4 linked regions of the Caenorhabditis elegans genome follow. The protein of the gene in region 3 purifies or fractionates together with the protein of the main gene of each other region. This does not show direct contact. Each region holds a gene or a part of one and is shown on either strand. Other genes may lie near its edges.

What was found.
Region 1: the proteins of mrps-2 (region 3) and her-1 fractionate together in Caenorhabditis elegans (co-fractionation; one large-scale study listed by BioGRID). This does not show direct contact.
Region 2: the proteins of mrps-2 (region 3) and kin-1 fractionate together in Caenorhabditis elegans (co-fractionation; one large-scale study listed by BioGRID). This does not show direct contact.
Region 4: the proteins of mrps-2 (region 3) and rps-3 fractionate together in Caenorhabditis elegans (co-fractionation; one large-scale study listed by BioGRID). This does not show direct contact.

The regions. Positions count from the first base shown.
Region 1 is NC_003283.11:9,695,060-9,702,694, forward strand, and holds her-1 (Protein her-1), read left to right. Parts: upstream 1-1,955; 5' UTR 1,956-2,069; coding exon 2,070-2,212; intron 2,213-2,261; coding exon 2,262-2,374; intron 2,375-5,710; exon of another isoform or gene 5,711-5,712; coding exon 5,713-5,870; intron 5,871-6,379; coding exon 6,380-6,493; 3' UTR 6,494-6,976; downstream 6,977-7,635. UniProt on the Caenorhabditis elegans protein: Dictates male development. Probably plays a direct role in cell signaling during C.elegans sex determination. Inhibits the function of tra-2a.
Region 2 is NC_003279.8:14,911,785-14,916,881, forward strand, and holds the start of kin-1 (cAMP-dependent protein kinase catalytic subunit), read left to right. Parts: upstream 1-1,981; 5' UTR 1,982-1,995; coding exon 1,996-2,205; intron 2,206-2,737; coding exon 2,738-2,905; intron 2,906-3,359; coding exon 3,360-3,525; intron 3,526-5,097. Other genes in the region: ptr-23 (SSD domain-containing protein), read left to right, coding at 1-113, 168-478, 527-669, 717-831, 879-988. UniProt on the Caenorhabditis elegans protein: Essential for larval development. Controls the rhythmic contraction of enteric muscles probably by regulating G-protein coupled receptor aex-2-mediated calcium influx in GABAergic DVB neurons.
Region 3 is NC_003283.11:8,463,698-8,467,743, reverse strand, and holds mrps-2 (Small ribosomal subunit protein uS2m), read right to left. Parts: upstream 2,059-4,046; coding exon 1,987-2,058; intron 1,943-1,986; coding exon 1,754-1,942; intron 1,557-1,753; coding exon 1,356-1,556; intron 1,277-1,355; exon of another isoform or gene 1,188-1,276; intron 1,051-1,187; coding exon 718-1,050; 3' UTR 585-717; downstream 1-584. Other genes in the region: mrpl-4 (Large ribosomal subunit protein uL4m), read right to left, coding at 1-479; natc-1 (Protein MAK10 homolog), read right to left, coding at 2,523-2,658, 2,704-2,826, 2,894-3,188, 3,279-3,497, 3,577-3,800, 3,851-4,046.
Region 4 is NC_003281.10:6,204,774-6,208,796, reverse strand, and holds rps-3 (Small ribosomal subunit protein uS3), read right to left. Parts: upstream 1,995-4,023; 5' UTR 1,973-1,994; coding exon 1,853-1,972; intron 1,805-1,852; coding exon 1,664-1,804; intron 1,619-1,663; coding exon 1,469-1,618; intron 1,370-1,468; coding exon 1,237-1,369; intron 1,067-1,236; coding exon 867-1,066; 3' UTR 832-866; downstream 1-831. Other genes in the region: RutC family protein C23G10.2, read right to left, coding at 49-206, 298-384, 484-566; sna-3 (NADAR domain-containing protein), read left to right, coding at 2,594-2,682, 2,731-2,969, 3,022-3,220, 3,267-3,417, 3,467-4,023.

The sequences.
Region 1 (7,635 bases), 1.2 Mb from region 3:
AGAAATTACAACATTTAAAAAAATCAAATCAAAATGGCAAAACATTCAGAGAAATGAGTTTGCTTGTATTACTTGGTTTTAAAGGCGCATGACTCTTTGAGATTACTCTATTGAAAATTTTTGAAACGTGAGAATTTCTAGTTCGCAAATTCGTAATAAATTTGATTAAAAAATATGTTGAATGTATCTAATTCACAGTTGCAATATTTTTTCTTACTATTATTTTCCATTGTATCTGAAAAATTAACAAGTTTCTCATTTTCATTACTACATAGTCATCGTGAAATTTCAAACACTAAATATATTTTTTCCAAGTAATTTTTGATTCCAATTCTTAATTATATTGATGAACAGATAGTTATTTTTGGGCCAGGAAAATAAAATTCAATGTAGCAATATATATTTGCATCAACGGAGCTCAACACCATTATATATCCTTATTTTCCCTGAATTGCCTTTATTGTGCTCGGTTGTAGCTACACTTGTAGACCCACGTCATCTGTCCACACCGCCTACTCGTTTGATCTTCTTTCCCGCGCATTCGATCTCTAAGTCACTCAATCTCCTATGCTATTTTAGTGAATCACGCACATGCAATAGCATTTGCTCACAATTGCAGACACTCAGTTACTGTGAGACAGGCAATATAATGGCCCTTCGGGATATCGAGTGTTGTCTAGAATGAGGTAAGTTGTGAGAAGATAGGAAGACAACGAAGTAAGATAAAGGAATTGTATTTGACTAAAAAATGAAATATCAATTTGATAAAAATATGTTTTGAAACTGTAAATTAATTTAATACATTGTTTTCTTTGACAGATCTTTGCATGTTCAATCAGTTTCTGATCTGAAACTTTCAGCTGAAAAGTATAGACGAATAAATAGTCAAATTTAAGTAAATTGATAATCTTAGATAGACCTAAAAAAGTAAAGTGAACCAATTCACGATTCGGTACGTTTCTGCCATAGAATACAACTCATTTCTTAAAATGATATAGAACAATACTTTAAAGAGTTATTCTAAAGAGTTCTAAGAGTTATTAAGAGATATTACTCTAAAGAGTTACTAAAGAGTATTCAATCTGAACCTTAAAGGAACATTAAAACTGAAGAAGATTATTTTGTTATTCGTTCTATCATTACTACAATCTTGCTCTTTTGATCTCTTGTCTCATGAGTATTTTGGTAGTTCAATCTGACAATTAACAAATTGTTATGCAGGATATTCGCAAATTTGGCAATCCTTATCATATCAATTACCGTCAAAGGTGGAACATACCATGTTTGAAACGAAATGAAGTCAATTGGAACATATAGAACGGTTACAGTATGCTCGATAAAGTATAATTTGATAAACTTTATTTTGTAAAACTATTGTATCAATCATCTACGGCATTAATCCTCAACCTTGAAAATAGATATGAAAGTAAAGTTGACAAGGCACAAAATTGGAACATAGTGATCGAAAATAAAGATATCTATTAATTGGAAATTGTTCGGCGAGGGGCTCTTCGAAACATTTACTGGGGTTTTATGAAAGTTTCTTCTAAAAAACATAATTTAAGATTGAGAGGTGCTCTCAATCAATTCAATATTTTCAAAGAAATAATCATATTCTGTGAAATCAACACTTAAATTATACATTTTTTCATATCTTTTAAAAAATGGAGTTGTATTTACAGGATTTAATGAGATTGTTGAGAGTGACGTCACTGACGAGCAGATATGTTTCAAACATGAACTAATTAGTTTCTAGTATAGTTTTGCCTAGTTTCTTATATATTAAGCAGAAACAACGGACCAGTTCTTCAGCTTCTGAGAGTAGATTATATCTTAGGAGCATACATGAGCACTGTATGTACCTTCTTTGTCTAACTTTCTTTGAGTATCTAAGTCTCTTCAGGTTCTATATCCATCATTCAACCAAATGACACTGCAGGGATGCCTATCTCCTGACTGAACCCACCAGTCGTCTCTTGCTCATATTCCTCCTACCTTCTGCTTCTATTTTCTCAGCGCATCTTGTCCACCTACAGTAGTAAATCTCCTCCCTTTCCTTACGTTGCATTATGAGATATCTCCCAATTTTTGTGTTTCTCGGATCATTTGGCTATACGGAAACTACATTAACAAAGGAACTTATCAAAGATGCAGCTGAGAAATGCTGTACAAGAAACCGTCAAGAATGTTGCATTGAAATTATGAAATTTGGGTGAACCGCTTTTACGAGCACGAACAATGCGATAATCGGTATAATTTAGAACCCCAATTCGATGTGGTTATGACAGGGATCCGAAGCTACCCGGATATGTCTACAAATGTCTTCAAAATGTGTTGTTTGCAAAAGAACCAAAGAAAAAGATTAACTTGGATGGTGAGCGTTTTTTTTTCAGGTAAAATTCTCCTCACAAGCCAAGATATCAAGTTTTGTTTATTCTTAAGAAATATAGGAAATGACTAATACGGTATGTACAAGTTAGTTTTAACTTGAGGAAAATCGAGAAACCGGTGGCATAGCGCCCGCCCGTGAGGTCATTGATTGGCCGGAGGCAGAAAGACCACACGCATTGAAAAGTCACAATATCTTTTCTGCCTCTTTCATTCGTATACTCTTTGGAAATTTTCAATAATTTTGAACATTTTTTTTTTAATATTCTTGCCTCAAATTGTTTTGAAAAAAATCAAAGTAAATCATCAGAGGCTTCTCTGATTTCAAAATAATAGTTAGAACGTAAGTAAAGAGAGAGCGTTTGAAATTTTTCATGAGTAAGATTATTATTACTACTTATCTTTAACTATTTGAAATTTAAAAATGGCATGCAATGTATGGGAGAAATATTTGAAGAAAGCGCCCAAGACTTCAAGAATATCTGAATTTGAGGAGTTATATCACAAAAACTGAGCCTGCAACCTATACTAAAAAGTATACCAAAACAAAGATAAAATTAAAGTCTTTGTTTCTGAGTATTTATTATCATTTGAAAAATTATTTAATAACACGTAAAACGTCTTCAAACTAACCCCAATTTAGAATGTTCGCGCTCTCTCTTGCTGAAATCAATTATAACTATGATAGAATGATTATTCGAATAATTCATAAGGGCTATTATTTTTTCACTTTAAATTATAAAACGAATACTTTACCAATTTTGAAACAAAGTTTCTGCCAATGTGAAATTAAACTGGAAATTGAAGTTTCACCGCTAAGTTCGAAAGCAAATGTTGGGCATTTCCATAATCCGAGTTACAGCAGAACGAGATGTTATCATATAGTAAAAAAATTGTTCAAACATTTTTCGATATTTTAGAAATTAGAAAAAATGCAGTACGATGACGTAGACAATGGTAAGAGGAGGAAGATAGTGCGTATGTGTGCGCAGAGAGGTACAAGGCTTCGGGCATTGGGCAGTCGCCACCATACGCTCGATCGATATATTCAAAGTCGGTCAGGCTTTTAACAATTTGAAGCTTACTGATATCAGTAAATTTGTGATAAATGTCAAGGATACCGTGTCTTTGAAGCAACTTAAGCTCTCTATAGTTTCCTGATTTGATTTCACTTCAACATACTACATTTCCAGTTATTGATAACACTTATCAACTAGCATTTAAACATTTTCTCATATCTATAATAATGTTTGATTTCCTGTAAATAGTTTCCTCTTCCATTTCGAATTGTAATATTTCCCTCAATAACATTGGAACCTTGTTCAACTAAATAGGGATCACTTTGACAACACCTAAAGCATCTACAAAAAATTTTTGGTAATGTAACAACCAAGTTTTCTAAAAGAATTTGACATGCTCTATTTGTTAGAAAAACTTTTTGATTATGTTTCAGGCTCAGTTTTTGAGATATTCAACTCTAAAGTTGCAACTTGTTCTAGGTGGTCCGTTCAATTGTCCTAGGGTTGTGCAGGCAATTGGTATTGCGCAGGGAGAATAGACGGACCCTTGTGTCTTGCGTACCACCTGTCATCATGTTTCGAGAGTAGATATTCTTCAAACCCTCAAACTATTTAGAAATATATTTTTTAGCCTCAAAAAGTTACGTTTTTCGTTCAGAATTCTATTAGGGCTACGTTTTAACATAAGTTTTAAAATAGGCTTCTTTATTTGTTTTTGAGATATTCATGGCCAAAAAAAAACTTTACAGTATTGAATTTGGCTCTAATATTTTTCAATACTTGTTCTCTACAATGTTAAAAAAAAATTAATTTCGCCTACTCATTTGATCATTTAATAGATTTATGAAAACATAAAAATTATGATAACAATGTCTTTGAATTCTCTGATAATGTTCATAATTTGTTTTGATCTTTCTCGTGTTATCTCTCCAAGATAAAAGAGTGTTCTACTGCGAGCACTGATACCATATCTTTGCATGTTTATCCTTTTATCAGTTGACTCACTCTTTTGTTAGGTGTATTGATTAGATGGGAGACTCCCCTGCAACAATTGTCCTACAGGAGCAGAGCAGTTGCTTTTTTTCTTTTGACATCTTGCATTTTTCGTTAGAAAGAAAATATTTAAGTGCCGCCGGGAGCAATCTGTTTTATTTACAAATATATCAGAATGCACGGCATCAGCTAATAAATATTGAATAAGTATTTTCTTGTTCTCACCCCTGTACAGTTTGCTTTTCTATTCCTCATTACACCTCCCAATCCAGGTGTGCTTGGTCCTTCATCTTATTAGATCTGCCATACGGTATAGGAATTACGATCTACAGTCGTCATAAAAGAGTCCGCAATACCGTCATGTGTGTCGAGTTGCAACAAAAGAGTATATGGGAAATGAGAGACTACGGTAAATGAGAGATACCGTAGACGAGATATAATGTAAGAGAGTGGTAGATCAAATGAGATGAAAAACGCGTCGATTAGGTCCATCCAGGAGAAACTAGATTGCGTAGAGCAAACATAGCTGTTTTGACGGGAACAATGTTTTTTGAGACTACAAATATCATAGCTTCAGCTACATCTGAGGTTTTCAAATTTTTCTCGAATAGCTGATAAAGTGAAACTTCATAATGAAGGTAGATATCAGTGCTCAAATAATGTATACCGTATTCCCCGTTATTGTATTAGACCTTATTGTTCAATTTTACCAGCTTATATTTTAGTTAGCGTTTGTTCTATTCAAATATTGCCAATTGAGAAACTATTATTTCTTTTTCAATTGCTTGCAGTTAAAATTTATTGATATCTTTAAAATGAGTTGATAGTGAGATATAAAGCTTTCAATTAAAATAATGTGGTGCAATACTATTAGAGAAAATACAGTAATCTTACTAAACTAAATGCACGCGTGATTAAATCCAAAAAGTACAGAACTTAATTGGTTTATTTAGGTGCGTTCCCCTGAGCAGAAATTGTCTTAATATAAATTAATTTGAAAATCTGAAATTCGAGAAATTTCTACTTTCTGTAAAGTTGTGAATATTCACTAATTTTATTGATAATATGAGGTTTATAGAAAAACTTACAAATGCATTTGACTCACAGAATTGCTATAATTTTACGATTTCCCAGAAGAGACTTTCCCAAAAGAAATCGTTATTTTTGAGGGACAAATTGTCTTAATTATCGATCTATTATTTGCCTCTTCACACGTAAAACATGCCAACACCTGTCTCTTTTGACTCCGCCTCTCTGATTGCCCCGCCCATTTGCCCATCCCACGCCCTAATCTCATATTGTCTTTATTCAGACTCCGTGTGCTGCTCCGTGTTTGGCAACGACCAAAACGATTCTGGAAGAAGATGTGAGAATCGTTGCAAGAACCTCATGACCAGCCCTTCCATCGACGCTGCCACACGTCTGGACAGCATCAAAAGTTGCTCGCTTCTGGATAATGTACTGTATAAAGTGAGTTTTTGTTAACACAGAATTTCAGTTCGCCTATTCTAGTTAGACAAACGGGTAAATTGAAAATATTCGGTGCAATCTGTCTTATGGTTTTTTCAGCTCCTGCCTATTTCAGTACGTAGTCCTAATTTTTCCAGTTTTAAAGAAAGGATCCCTAGTTGACCAAAGCCAAGTTTAAAAATATTAAATTATCTCCAACTCTGTAAAAACGGCTGCGATTTGCAGACTTTTTCTTGGTCCAGGCAAACAATTTTGGAGTTCGTCCCATCCATTCCCTCGTCTATAAAATTCATCCTAAAACGGAGAAAATTAAAAAAAAAATTCAATTGGCAAGCGGAAAATCCGATAGTGGATAGATATCACCCCAAAAATTGTTCGCCTAGGTTGAGATACATTTTTGGAGCAGTGCGTCAGTCCAGGAACCACGTTTTTCAAAGATATCTCATTCGATATTCTAATCGTTCAATTCGAGTTAATCAAGTGTGTCATAAAACAAATTTATTTTTCAGTGTTTTGAGAAATGCCGGAGCCTCCGTAAAGATGGTATCAAAATTGAAGTGCTCCAATTCGAAGAATACTGCAATGCAACGTTTATCCAAAAGCGAACTTTCCGAGGAGTCTGAATCTGGGCTCATTAGCCTAAAACATCCCTAATCCGCCGTTGTCATTATGGCACTCTCCATCATGAGTGGTCCAATTTTTTCTTTTCTTTCTAAACCTTTTTATTTTATTTTTTGTAACACCTCTATGTCTACCTCTTAATCAAAGCTTTGAGCTTTACTCACTTTGAGTTATATTTTTAATCTTGTGTTCTCCTTATGTTGAAGAAAATTTTCGATACGCAACTTGTCATATTGTTGTATATATTTTTAATAGAATTTTTTGAAATGTCCTATTCTTATTGATTTCTTCTTAACATTCTCTTCAAGAATGTTTTCGGATGCGCTCAGATGTCATGAAGGCGCACTACGGTGCGGTCCTGATTTTATTTATTTTTTTTTTCATAAAAAATATATCTTCTCTTGTTGGTTTCTCCTAAAGTTGTCAAATATGAATATTCAAGTACTTTCTACGATCTTTTTTATTGAATAAATTGTTTTATCAACGCACAGAACCCATACGACATAATCAACAAAAAATGATAAGAAAGTGATTTTCGAACTACAAATTTTATCAATTTTTTTTCAATTCTCTGCTTTCTAACAAATTCTAAATTTTATTTGTAATTTTAGTTATTCAAACTGCAAAACGAGCAAAACTTTATTTCTTATCCGTTTTGAAAGATTAATAAACTAAATGTAATGTTGTTTCTCATATTCTGCTTGTTATTTTAAACTGAATAATGCTTTAGAGCTAGCAAGGAAAAATCAATCAATTCATTCGAAATTGATAAAATGGCCATTAAGGTTTTTTTTTAAATTTTATGTGTTAACACATGTGTTGGGTTTCATCATAAACTTGTACTTGGTGGAATTCAAACTATATAAGTTTAGATTTTTTGTAAATCAACACAAGTTACCAAAACTGTTCAGGCGTGATCCGAGTTTGAAGTATGGATTCTGCTAACTTAAGTTTAGAATACAATATAAGAATAAAGTTAAGAAAACAATTAACTCAAGAAATGCCGATGTTCTTAAAAGCAATTTTCAATGTTCAAGCCATAGAATTTAAGTACTTTTTTATTGACTCTCTGCTAAAAACCAAAAATGCAAAAACTTAACTGCCAAAATATGATTCTGATCTAGTTGTTTTCGGAATGACTACA
Region 2 (5,097 bases), on a different chromosome or scaffold from region 3:
GAAGAACTGGACCGTTTCTTCTTCACTACCGGATATCACGGAGATAATCTGACAATTTGGACGCAGCGTGGAGAAATGCTTAGAGCTTGGAGACAAGTCGTGGACAAGTATCCGTAAGTTTTTTCTCTTACAATTAGCTTTACAACTGACACTTTTCTGAATTTTAGTGACTTTGGCGCGTCGGTGTTCCACGAGGATGGTGTCTATCTTGATCTCATCGACAATATGCCTACTGACACGTGGCAATCGATTCTCGGAACTCTCGTTTGCATGGCAATGGTGTGCTTTGTTTTCCTGAACAATTGGTTTACTGTAGCTATTGCCTCACTCTCCGTTTTGTCAATTTGTGCTGGAATTCTAGGATTTTTGTCATGGTGGAAAGTGGATTTAGATCCAATCACAATGGCTGCAATGATTATCTCCATTGGGTTCTCTGTCGATATTCCCGCTCACGTATCATATCATTACTATCAAGCTTGTTAGTTTTTTGTTATGATATATCCTGGAGAGTAATAGTTAATTTCAGCAATACAAGAAGGACCCATGTCTCCGCCATCATCTCGTCTTGCAAACTGTCTATCTTCTGTTGCATTCCCAGCATTGCAGGCAGCGTTGTCCACAATTTTGTGTGTCTGCAGTCTATTATTTGTTAACCTGTATATGGCAGAAGTGAGATTTTAGTATTCAAATTTTCAATCAAAACCACTCTTTTCAAGGTATTCGTGAAAACCATGGTGTTATGTGTAGTACTGTGCAATCTTCATGGTCTCGTGTTCTTACCTGCTATCTTGATTCTTTTGGATTCTATTCGATGGGCTTGTAGGCCTAAGGGTAAGAATTCACAAATGATTATTTTCTTGAGACAAAGAAAATTTAAGGTGCTGCTGCACAACGTCCAAAGCAGCCAAAAACCAATTCTCGCCAGAAACAGAAAAACGACAAAGTTCAGCCGGAAAAGAGTGTGGTCACTGATCGACCGGAAATCTAAAAAAAACCATTAATTATATTTCTTTTTAACTTCTCCACCTATTAATCTCATGACACAAACCTCTGTTCCATTTGAGTTTCCCGTTTCCTTCCAGTTTTCTGAAAATATTCGTCCCCACCAAAAAGTCCGGGTTTTTATAGTGTTGCCCAAGTTTTCATTTTTCGTGTTTTTTGTTTTTGTGTACATTTTGTGCTTTGCTGATCATACCTATTAGAAATTTTCAAAGTGAAGAATTGATTTTTTTCCGGTGATTTTCCGACATCTTCTTGAGTTTCATTTTGCCAAGCTAGAAATAAAAGCATTGAAAATATACTTGAAAACAAACGGAAAGGTTTTTAGATTTCAAACAATAAAAATAAAATCTAATATCATAGTGAATTTTCAAAAAATCTTGCAGTAAATATTGTAGCTGTTCCAGAAAATGTTGAAGCGTGCGTGTGCCTAAAGTGATACACTGGATTTACTATAAGGCTGCTGCAGCAAAAACAAGTCCCTGATGAAACTCAACTTCTTCCTTCCTTGAATTTTTATAAATAAAGTGCGTAATGCGTACTATCGTCATTCTTATGTAGCAAAAAGTAGCTATGAAACAACGTTTGAAAAATCTTGAAAAATCTGAAAATCTCAAACTAGTCATGCGTTCAAGTTTCTCTCGCGGTGCTCAAAAATTCATTGGGTAATAATACTCCGACATAAAAAACGAATTTTATGTTCTTCACCTGAATAGGACCAAAAGGGCTTTGTCATACTATTCTCCGTCCGTGGCCGTGTCCATTCTCAGTGTGTTCTTAAACAAACACTGAGAGTCGTGGAATGAAAGACACAGAGGGAGAGAGGGAGATGGCCGATCCTTTCTAAACGCGCACCTCCACACAGAGACACTCGCTCACAATACCGTTCTTCATCTTCGTTTATTTGTGTATGTTGTTCCCTTTCGCACCCTGAGTCTCACAAAAATATTGCACATACTAAACTACTAATCAGTTATTCCATTTATCCTTATCACGATGGACCCAAGCCCGTTGAAGAGAAGAAAAGTAGAGGATGGTGAAGATAGGATTTTGGCAAAATGCGAAAAAGCTGCTGACACTGTTGAAATTGTCGATCTATCGCCAATGCCATTACTAACTGACGAAGCTGGACCTTCAACCTCTACAAATGTTCAAGCATCACAATCACAGGAGCAATTACAACCACAGATGGATTTGAAACTTAGAGTGAGACTTTTATAACTACAGGTGGTGCTAGTTAATAAAAAGGCCTGTAAATTAAATTTTTCCTCGGATGTTTCTTGAATAAAATATAAAAAACTTGAAAGAAAATAATAAAAATCTAGGTCTAACAAACCATTATTTTTGATCGACGCTCATTTCTTTACGAAAATTGGTTATTGTTTGTAGTTTTATATTTCAATTTAATGTTCGGAACAATACAAATACATTTTAAGTAAAATGGAGTTCGATCGTAAACTAAAATTCTGCCAAAATCCGCGACCTTCATAATGCCGCAAAAATTGGAGCATTTGAGAACTTTTAAGTTTAAATTTTGCGTGTACCGCACACTCAGACCAGCCCACAAAAATGCCTGATTAGGGGTTATTGTTAGGTTAGGCGCAGCGAAGTAGGTTGCAAGTACTGGACGTTCTGTAGGTATGAAGGCATACATGAGCCTTTGTACCTGTATGAAATTGGAATTTAACAAGATTATATATTCAGTGAAATCTTCTTACCAATTCACCTACACTTCCAGGAACTCCTTCTTTCTTCACCAGCACATCTATTCGGGCTTCATACCATTCCCGCAAGTGGCTCAAACAGTCAGCAGCCAGACGACAACAACCCTCCACAGGCAGCTGTAACAAGTTGGGAAAACTGGTTATGCTTTTTGGCAACCAACTTATCACCAGCTCAGTGGCAGGTACTTTTTTCCAGATTTTTTTTTCAAAATAGAATCACCTCCCTTAGCGCATAGACGGCAATATTGGGAAAAACTACATTTTTCACAAATTTTTTTTTTTTGACTTTCCACGTGGCGAACAAAAGATAAATTCTAATTTCTAATAGTAAGTTTCACCGAATTTTGAACTTGTTTTAATTTAATTTAAATTCATTTCTGAATGTCATCGGTATCAAACGAAATGTAAGATTTTTCATCCAGTAATTTCAGCAATTATTTTTTTAAAGACATTTTTTTACTGGCGAAATGAGGAAAAACTTCTCAACCCTGATGGAAATAAAGTGTTCTGACAAAACAGAGACTATTGTTGTAACGTGCATTTTGAAGAAATTTATTGCGGGAAAAAATCTCTCAAAACTGCGCAACAATATAATTTTTTATTCCTTCTACCAAAAATAAAATGCAAGTATTTCAGGGCTACTGGCTTGCACATTGTGCATTATTTGGAGATCAAGCAGTTCCCGTTCATCTCCTCAGCTTCTTCCAAGGACACATCTCACCGTCGTCTTCTTCATCGCCAACATCCACGCAATATTTGACAATTGGACCACAACCAAATGACGAGATTCAGGAAAGATATGGTACGCTTTTTAAAAAGATTATTTGATGGGGGATAAGTATGAGAAAGAGTCATAAATAGGTAGGTTATTTTTTGAAAGTATTTATATTATCGTACAATTATCTGCGTATTATTGAACGCCAAATCATTCTGTAACTAGAGTTTGATCGCAATTCATCGAAGTTTTGCTTCAGAACTGTAATATTTCCTTTATTGACGCGAATATAGTTGGAAAATTTGCTAATACAGTCCTTGGTTTCTTTGGTTTCAGTTTGGTTCTATGATAAATATTAATATCTATCGTTTGTCGACTTCTTCCGCTGAGCGAGCATCTGGCAGAAGTAAGCTATGCAATCTCATTTTTGAACGTGCCGTTTTAGTTGTACAATCAATTCACTAGTATTCGAAATCGTGCATCCAACTTTATTATAAAGGGTTTTATCTACATAATATGGATGTAGGTACATTGTTATTTTTGCATTACATTTGAGCTTTTTTTTTGCTTACATTTGAGCATTTGGTTTATCCTGCTATCCTTTCGTGTTTACGCCATATTTTCAAGCTCCTCTCTTTCTTCTTCAGTCTATTTTGCAGAGTTCGGACTTTAAATGTGGGTACCTAAAGTTCATAGTATTATAATTTCCAACAACTCGAACTCCGAAATTCCTTTGCAAGTTCTGACAACTGACTCATTTAGCCTACAATTATAAAAGAGAGGGAGAAAGAGAAGCTGAAATATTTGTCTCCGTTTTTACTTCTTCTTTTTCTTCAATTTCACACCTTGTCTTGGCTGCCCGTGGCAACGTATTTACTCTCACTGCTTTTCATTTTTCTTCCATTTTATTCCTGTCAGGATTTCCCGCTCATAGTCAGTAGAAACATATGGTAGTTTCTATTACTGGTCAATTTTAATTGGTATAATTAATAATAAGTTTAACTCCCGCGCATGTGTATCACTGTTTTATTGGGAAATTGTCTAAATTTGAAAATCCAACAAATATGTTGGTTGGTTTCTAAAATTAAAATGTTTAAAACTCCTTTTACTTGATTTTTTTTTTCAGAAAAGTTGTTTTTTTTCTCTTTAAAAAATCTCCGTCTCTCACTATTTCTCTTATATTTCAAGCAGTCAACCTATGTCAAAATAAACTATCATTAGAGACACTGCTCCTGGAGAGTCACTACCACCACCACCTGCTCTTTTTATTTCTCTCTTGCTTTTCCACATAGGTATTACGAGGGCAACCGGGGGTTAAATAATCGAATCAATCATATGAAATTCCCATATTTGATTTTATTCATGGCCATAAATGGAATTTGTCTAAAAATCGATAAAGTGGATTTTTTATTATCTTATCAAAAAATTTAACCTCAAAACTTGTAGGTAGACACATTTTCTGGGTAACAATCAATTTTTTGTGACTGTAGACACAAGATAAAATAAGTCACCTAAAAAGATGTCAGTAGAAACCACAAGATGAGACATATACCCATAATTCCATCTTAAAAGTGACCCAATTCACGTGCAATTTTAATCACCTTTAATCTCAGAAATTTTATGAGATTTTAAGAAGGTGTGTACTTGAACTTTGTTGTG
Region 3 (4,046 bases):
CCCTGAATTCTGACTGCGTCTGGAAGCATGTAGAACCACGTTCTCGGTCCACGAACACCATTTGCGAAACCTCCTCGAATAAATTGTGGGGAACGAATAGAACCAACGTGAGCCCGTCCAGTCTTCTTTTGAGGCCACGGCTTTCTACCCCCTCCGGGCATTTCAGCTTTTGTCAACATTTTCGTCATTTGCACATTTCGATATACACTTTGCCACGTGAGGTTACGGTGTAGAATATCGATACGCGGTGATGTTCTGAAAATGTCTGGATGGAGATCCACGAGTCCGAGCTTCTCATCTTCGATGGTATCCAAATTTGAAACCCAAGCTTGTGGAGTTTTGATGAATGGATTTTCTGGTTTTCGCCATAATTCTCTTCGTGTATCGATGGATTCGCCAGATGAAGTCGAGGAAACATCCTGAACAGCCGATGAGAATGCTCGACTTGAAATTAAAAAACGCAGCTGCCTGGAGAGCATCTGAAAAGGGATAAGGTGTATAAATAATTTTAAAAAACCAAAAAAAAAGAAAGATATGTTCTAACACTGTTCGTTTACAGTAGTGATTCAAAATTACGATTTGAAAGCAATATTTTGATTTTTTAAATAGGTAAACAACTGGATATTTAGAAAATGAAGAAACAATCAGAAAACAAGGAAAACAAAAGATCTAATCAAAAATTTTGAAATCTTGAAACTAAATACTAAAAATTAAAATTTATTTTCCTTGCTGCTGACGTTTTCGTTCTTCTTGTCCTTTTCGAACGGCTTCCTTGAACATTCTGAGCAAATATTCAGTGGATTGTGGTGTATCATCGTTTGCAGGAACCAAATATGTCAAGTAAGCCGGATCCGAATTCGAGTCAACTACTCCAATTGTGGGAATCGCCATTTTTGCGGCTTCAACGATGGCTGGATGGTTTTCGCCGAGTGATGTGAGGGTTGACAGGAAGCAGACAGCATCTGGAAGTCGAACTGAAGCTCCGAGAAGTTGTCGAGTGTTCGTTAGAGTTCCTGATTGCCACTTTCGAACGTGAGAGTATTGCCCAACCTGGAAAATAACACCTTTTCAAATTTTTTTTTGTAAAATTTTTTTGCTTGATTTTTAAAGATTACTGTTTAAAAGACATACATTTTTACAGTAACATTCACAACTAGAAAACAATGGTGAATATTTTCTGAATAAAAAAAAACAGCTCAGGATCGCAAATTCCGCAGAAACAAATAATCTCGCAAGATTATTAATTATCGGATCAAAGTATGTTCACATCACTGCTGTTATGAAAACTCGAACCATGAATCATTTTCCAATAGATTGGTGTTCTCACCCCTACACCACCATGCACACTGTCTCACCTCATCTGCTGCCTTCTCAACATCAAACATGGTGTCTCGATTGGAAGTGACAAAAAGAATCATTCCACCGCGCAATGACACATGAGCAACGAAATTTAGAGCTCTGACGAGATATTTTTTGGTAATATCGAGGTCGAAGAGGCAAACTCCAAGACGTTCACCGTACAGGGCCCACTTCATATTGTTGTTTACTGTTCCGACCTAAAAAAAATTATATTAGTTGTTAATTCAACTTCTCAAGCTTAAAATAAATTTTAAAAAATGCGAAAAAATCCCGAAGTTTTTTTCGTAATTTTCCAGTGCAATTTTCGAAGAAAAGAAAATTGGGAAATCGACTTTTAAACGTATTTCATTCATTTTTTTTAACAGTTAGAACCGCCTTTCTTTAAATAGACTACCTTATGTCCGTAGTGAAGTCTTGCTTTAAACATCTCATCGATATGGACCATTTTTTCAAAATTAAATAAATCTTCATGTTGAAGTGACGCGGAAACGAATGGCTTCAACACTGTTGGCTGGACTGTTCCTTTTTCAAGAGTTGCACGATCCGGAACAGACGACGATGATGAAGTAGATGCAACTGGTTTCTGGAAACAAAGAATTCTAAATTATATTTTTGGTAAATGGTTACCTGCTGCGACGCGGAAAATCGTGTCGAGAAGGCTCTTTCTGTACGGATTGCAGCTGCTACAACTCGTCTCATCTGGAAATTCGTGTTGAAAGAAAACATGGTAAGTAACTAGTAAGTTAGAAAATAAGTAATAATCAATTTGGATACAGAAACCAAAGAATCGATAATTCAAAGATATTTTGCAAACTGAAAACAAACAAGTTCATAGAAGCATAAAATTTGATTTGAAATGTATTTCGATATCTCTGAGAACAATGTGAATGTACTGTACCAACCGAGAAAATTCGTGTGCTATGAAAGGAAAGAAGACGGGGAGGCGGGGTTCACTAGTCTGAATTACTCAATCAATAAAATATGAAAACAAAAATCGAAATATGAATAATTATTTAGCTGATTATATAAAATACATGAAAGAAAAACACGGGGGACTTATGGCATTCTATTGAGATGATTCTTGAATATTTCTGAATCTACTGATGGATTGTGACTGTTGGAGAGATCGCAGCAATAATTGGCAAACAAGAGTAGAGTTGTCATCACTTTTTGCTAATTTTTAGACATGGAAACATTGGAATCTCTTCTGAAAACGACCAAACGACATTTCTGTCCGTCAAATCAAGTTTCAGAACTCTGCAAGCAATAATGTTCGATTTCGCCACGTGGATCAATTGCCTGGAAATAAGAAGATTTTTAAACGACCAAACAGCATCAACCAACATCATTTCGCGATTTTGCTCCACAGAGTTATCGATTTTTTCGAGATGTTCACGTGCTTCATTGAAACTTTTCTGAGCTTGATCGATCAGTGTCTCAATCTTGTCTTCATACATTTGGTCAATTCTGAAATGCGAATAATTATTTGTATACCCATAAAATGACATTTTTTAAAAACGCAGTAAACGCTTACCCCGAATCACTTTTAAAACGTTCGTAATCCACACGAACTGGAGGCCCAAGTGAGTCGAATGGTTCGAATCGTCTTTCGAATCTTAGTTTTTCAGCATCATCTCCACCCTTCGGCATCTTGATGATTCCTTTACGAATCAGAACAACTGTCAGTCTCACAACTCCATCAGAAATCATTGAAATTGCGATTTGATTGAGAACACTGAATTGATGAGCAGCGACACGACGTTTCAACTCTTCTCCAAGTTTACATCTCTCTTCCCACAGTTTTTTGTTTTTAGTCTCTCTCAGTGGATCTGGAAAGTGCATAACAGAAAACGGCTTCATGTCTTTGTTCAATAAATTTTTTGAACCCTAACTGTAACAATTTGATGGTTTTCACTAACTTGCTTGATAAACGTTCAGCTGAATTTCTTGACTCCGTTCCAAAGTTGTTCTCATCCAATGTGCTTGAACTGAACCAATAAACCAGTAAATGTATGGGAACTCGTAAGGAACGTAAAGGTCCATTCGAAATCCAAGTTCGAAATAATGGTTAATGATTGCAAGAAGATTGTGAAACACAAATGTAGCCACTGAGTGATATGAGTAGTTCTGCTCTTTTGCTGCAATGATTTATTTGTGGAATTACTGGGAATTTAGAATAATTTTTAACATAATTTTTTTAATTTTAAATTATCTTACCAGTAACCATTTTTCCGCTAAGCAATACTTCATCAGTTCGCTCTTCCAGTCGTCCAGCATATGAATGGATTTGACCAAGATCTTCAATGGCCATCTCAAGACGATCTCTTTGACGGGATAAATTGCATCCAAAACTACCATAGACGGTGATTGCGAGTTTTGACATGTGATTCAAAAATAACACATATAGACTTTGAGCAGTTTGATCTTTGTAAACAGGAGATCTGAAATAATGAGATAAGTTCGTGATGTATTCTTGTTGAGAAGTACTCACACTCTATCAAGAATTTGTGGGCAGAAGCAGTTGCTCAGTGAGTATTCAACGGCGTCAGCAATTGATCGATTCTCATCACCACACAGATGGTTGTCGACTGGGAACATGCAAATTTGAAGAAGAGATCTGGTGAAGACGCATGCATTCTGACCGAAAGTTCTCGCAAAGTAGAACAAATAGTTCAAATCTTTTGAAG
Region 4 (4,023 bases), on a different chromosome or scaffold from region 3:
TAAAAAATTAAGTTTTTTATGTTCTAAATCTTTTATTTTAAATCTCACCGTTTCCATAATCAGCTCCAGCTGCCTTAAGAACTTCTCCGAGATTTTTGAGACTTTGATGAGTTTGCTCAACGACGCCCTCCTTCAAATCTCCAGTTTTTGGATCCAAGCCAAGAGATCCGGAAAGGTAGATGGTATTTCCGGCACGAACGGCTTGACTGAAATTTTTTAATATTATATGAATACTTTTGTTGATTGCTTATTTTCAGAGGAATGTTGTGGTAGAAAATAATATAATTTCTTGAATACCTGTATGGTCCGATAGCTCCTGGAGCATTTGCGGAGCTGATGATTTGACGGGTCACTTTTTGAGCCATGTCGAGCACTTTGGTTCTCCTGAACAGTTGTATTAGTCAGTTTTCTTTAGAAATAAGATTGAAAATAAATGAAAAAGTTGACAAAATGCCTCCACCACCACATTTTCTACCAACTAACTTGACCGCATCTTGCTCTGAAGTCTCCTCTGCGCCTGTTTCAGACCGTTTAAGCGCATTTGCAACTGGTGGAAGCATCGGCATTGTTAGAACGGCAAGAAGAACCGAAAAAGAGAAGACGTACATTTTTGAAGGGGTTAAAAGTTGCAAAGAGGAGAAATGAAATGAAACGAAATGAAGAGAAGCGCGACGATATGAGACACCGAGGTCACCCTTATCACCGGCGTGTCGCGTTTATGTAATTGGGGGTTCTGCAACGAAACAGTTTCCTAGACTCCTCCCTTTCGATTTTTGAAAGTACGTTGATTGTAAACTTTAAATATCATTACACTGAAAATAACGAGTAACAATTAACCAACAATTTATTGGGTATGTAACAACAGTTTATTGAACTGGAGCAACTGGTTGAGCTGCTGGGACTTGAACATCCTTCTTCTCCTCCTTGTGCTGGCTGTGTGGTTCCTTTGGAAGGACTTCCTCTTGTGGCTCGACGATTTGGACGTGGTCTGGGAGGGCGTTTCTTGGTCCGTTCTGTCCGCGTGGGTCGTATGGAAGCATGATCTTGACCTTGATACCGATGACTCCTGAAAATAAAAAAATGAAGATGGAAACTTACAAAATAGTAATACAAATTTTTAAACTTGATTTTTAAAATTAAAAAACTGAAAAGCAACATCTAAACTTTTCGAACGACATGTTTTTTGCGATCAAAAATCCTTTCTTAACCAAATCTTCCCCGTAAAAAATCACTGACCCTGACGGAGTTGAACGTGTCTGACGGCTTGTTGGATGTAGTCGTTGACTGGGTGTCCAGAGTGAATCATGAGTCCATCAACGAACTTCATGGCCTTAGCACGCTGTCCACGAAGCTTTCCAGAGACGATAACCTATAATTTTTAATGAATACAAATTCCATATAATACAAGTTTCGAATATTAGATGCAATAAAGTTAAATTTTTTGTCTATTAAAATAAAGTAATCATACCTCAACTCCTTGAGCTCCAGACTCCATGATGAAACGGAGAACTCCGTAGCAAGCACGACGGACGGCAAGACCTCCGACGAGCTTGTATCTGAGGGATTCGCACTGAGCGACAGCGCAGAGTCCTCTGTTGGAAACCTTCTCGGCGTAGAGCTAAAAAGTTAAATGTATTTTATTTTTCAATAAATGTATTTTTACCTCGACGGATCCCTCCTCGAATCCGAATCTCTTTTGGACAACCGAGGTGAGCTCCTTAATTCTGCGTCCTCGCTCTCCCAAAACGTTTTGGGTGCGGGTCGCCATGATGATGACCTCAGCTCTGGCTGGGGTACTGCGAACCTGCAAAACTTGAAGCTTAAATGCTATATTTTTGATTAATAATTTTACCTCGACTCCGGAGTATCCATCCTCAGCAAGCTCCTTCATCAGGAAGTTGTTAAGCTCAGCCTTGAAGATTCCGCCGATGACGGCCTTCTTCTTCTTGGTCACGTTTTGATTGGCAGCCATGTTGCCCACTGTTTGACGAAAGCTGAAAATTTGAATATTAATATTAGCGAAGATATTGATAGAAAAGAGTTATAATCCGAACAAAACACAAGAAATATATTTGAAAAAAAAGTATTTTGGGCAAGGTTTTTGTTAAGAAAACCCTAAATTACGTAACTAAAAACTACATTAATATAAAAACATGTTTTAATACAAAATATACATTGAAACATGTGAATTTTTTCAATTTTTATACAAAACATGTTAAAAATCCAGTTTCACGCGAAAAATTCAAAAATTTCAGGCAAAAATCGAAAAGAAATTTAGTTGCTTTCAACGTTTATCGTTGAAGCGTTGAATACTCAGTCAACGGCCAGGCCAATTGGCTGCGTACGTCACCGCAAGACCATGAGACCGAAAAATGGCATGCGCCTTTAATTGCCTCTTTTTTACCCTAGTCACCGAACGAATTTTTTGAATAATTTCTTCGAAGTTGAACAGTTTTCTTTATTTTTACCAGTTTTTTAATTCTGAACATCTCATTTTCTTTTGAAGTTTGCACTAGTTGTTTGAACTGCTTTGCCTGGTGATTAATCAACTATTTATTGATTTCTTTCTCAATTCCGTTTTTAAGGATCAAACATGGATGAAGAGAAAATTGTGTTAATTGGAAATGAATCAGATCTCCTACACTGTGGATACAATTTTGCACTTAGAGCTGGCGGAAAAAGGTGAGAACTGAAGTGACTTATAGATTGCAACAATGATTAAACTTGCAGATATCCCAGTGCCGCTCACTACACTCATTATCAAATTCTTATGTCTTTAAATCTACCCGAAACGGCAGTTGAAGAACTTTTATGTACGAACAGTTGCGATGTTCACCAAAAAGCGCTTGTTATTCTCCAAGAAAATATGCCAGACGGCCATACAATAAATTCATTGGCAGCATATCTCTCAGAAAGTCTTCGTTCATATTCAATTCATGCACTGCAACTCCGAGCAGAAAGTGATAAAGGTGAGCTTTTATAAGTAAGAAATAGAATCTAATATGCTTGAAAAACATGCAGACTTCGAAAAGACTCTTATGAAGACCAATGAAGCCCTCTTGATTGTCTGTGATGAGAAAAACCCTCAACTTGGTATAGGAATGAACGATAAAACGTTCATGGAGTGGATGGCCAAAGAAAAGGCAGATTCGAGACAAATATCCTACTGGATGAAAAATGAGCACACTAAACCAGCTGATTTGGGTCAAAATAAACTAGGGCAAGAAATATGAGAAACGAGATTTTCTTAAACATTAAAAATTTAGACAATATTTAATGTGGCTGAGGTTTGAGATTCGAGAAAGGAAGAAGCAAGGGATATTGACACGTCCTGTAGTGGAAGTAGCCGGATTATCGACTGATAAAGATGATGAACCAATTATGATTTCAATTAATGATCTTGTAATAAGTTTGGAGGTAAGCATTCAATCATCATGATTTTTTTAAACTATCATCATAATTTCAGGGTATATTCCGACCACTTTCAAACTATTACGCGTTTCCGTTTGAAATGAAACGAGAAAGATATCGATCTGTAGAGCATTACGCATATGAGAAGCTTTTTAATTCGCTGAAACTTGACGAGAAAGCAATTGAGAAAATTCAAACAACACCTGCTCCTCTGAACGTCCCTGTCGTTGCATCTAAACTACTGAGAAAGTTGGAAATAAATCCTGAAACGATAGCTGAAAAAACTTCAAAGATGGATCGTTGGCGTCAATCTGCAATGAAGCATAAGATTTACCACAATGAGTATCTCCAACAACTTCTACTTTCAACTGGATCAGCTATTCTCATTGATTCTTCTCTTGGTGACCCTCTATGGACATGTGGAGCAACTGAAGTTGAGCTGCAGCACCTTCTCACAAAATCGTACGTGACGCCGGAAAAATTAGTGGGATGGATGTTGGATGGAGAGGAGACTAATACACCAAAAAGCGTCCGTCATTTGTACGGAAACAAGTCAGGATTATTACTCATGGAGCTCAGAGAAAAGCTTTCACTACAAACAACAAGTAGAAT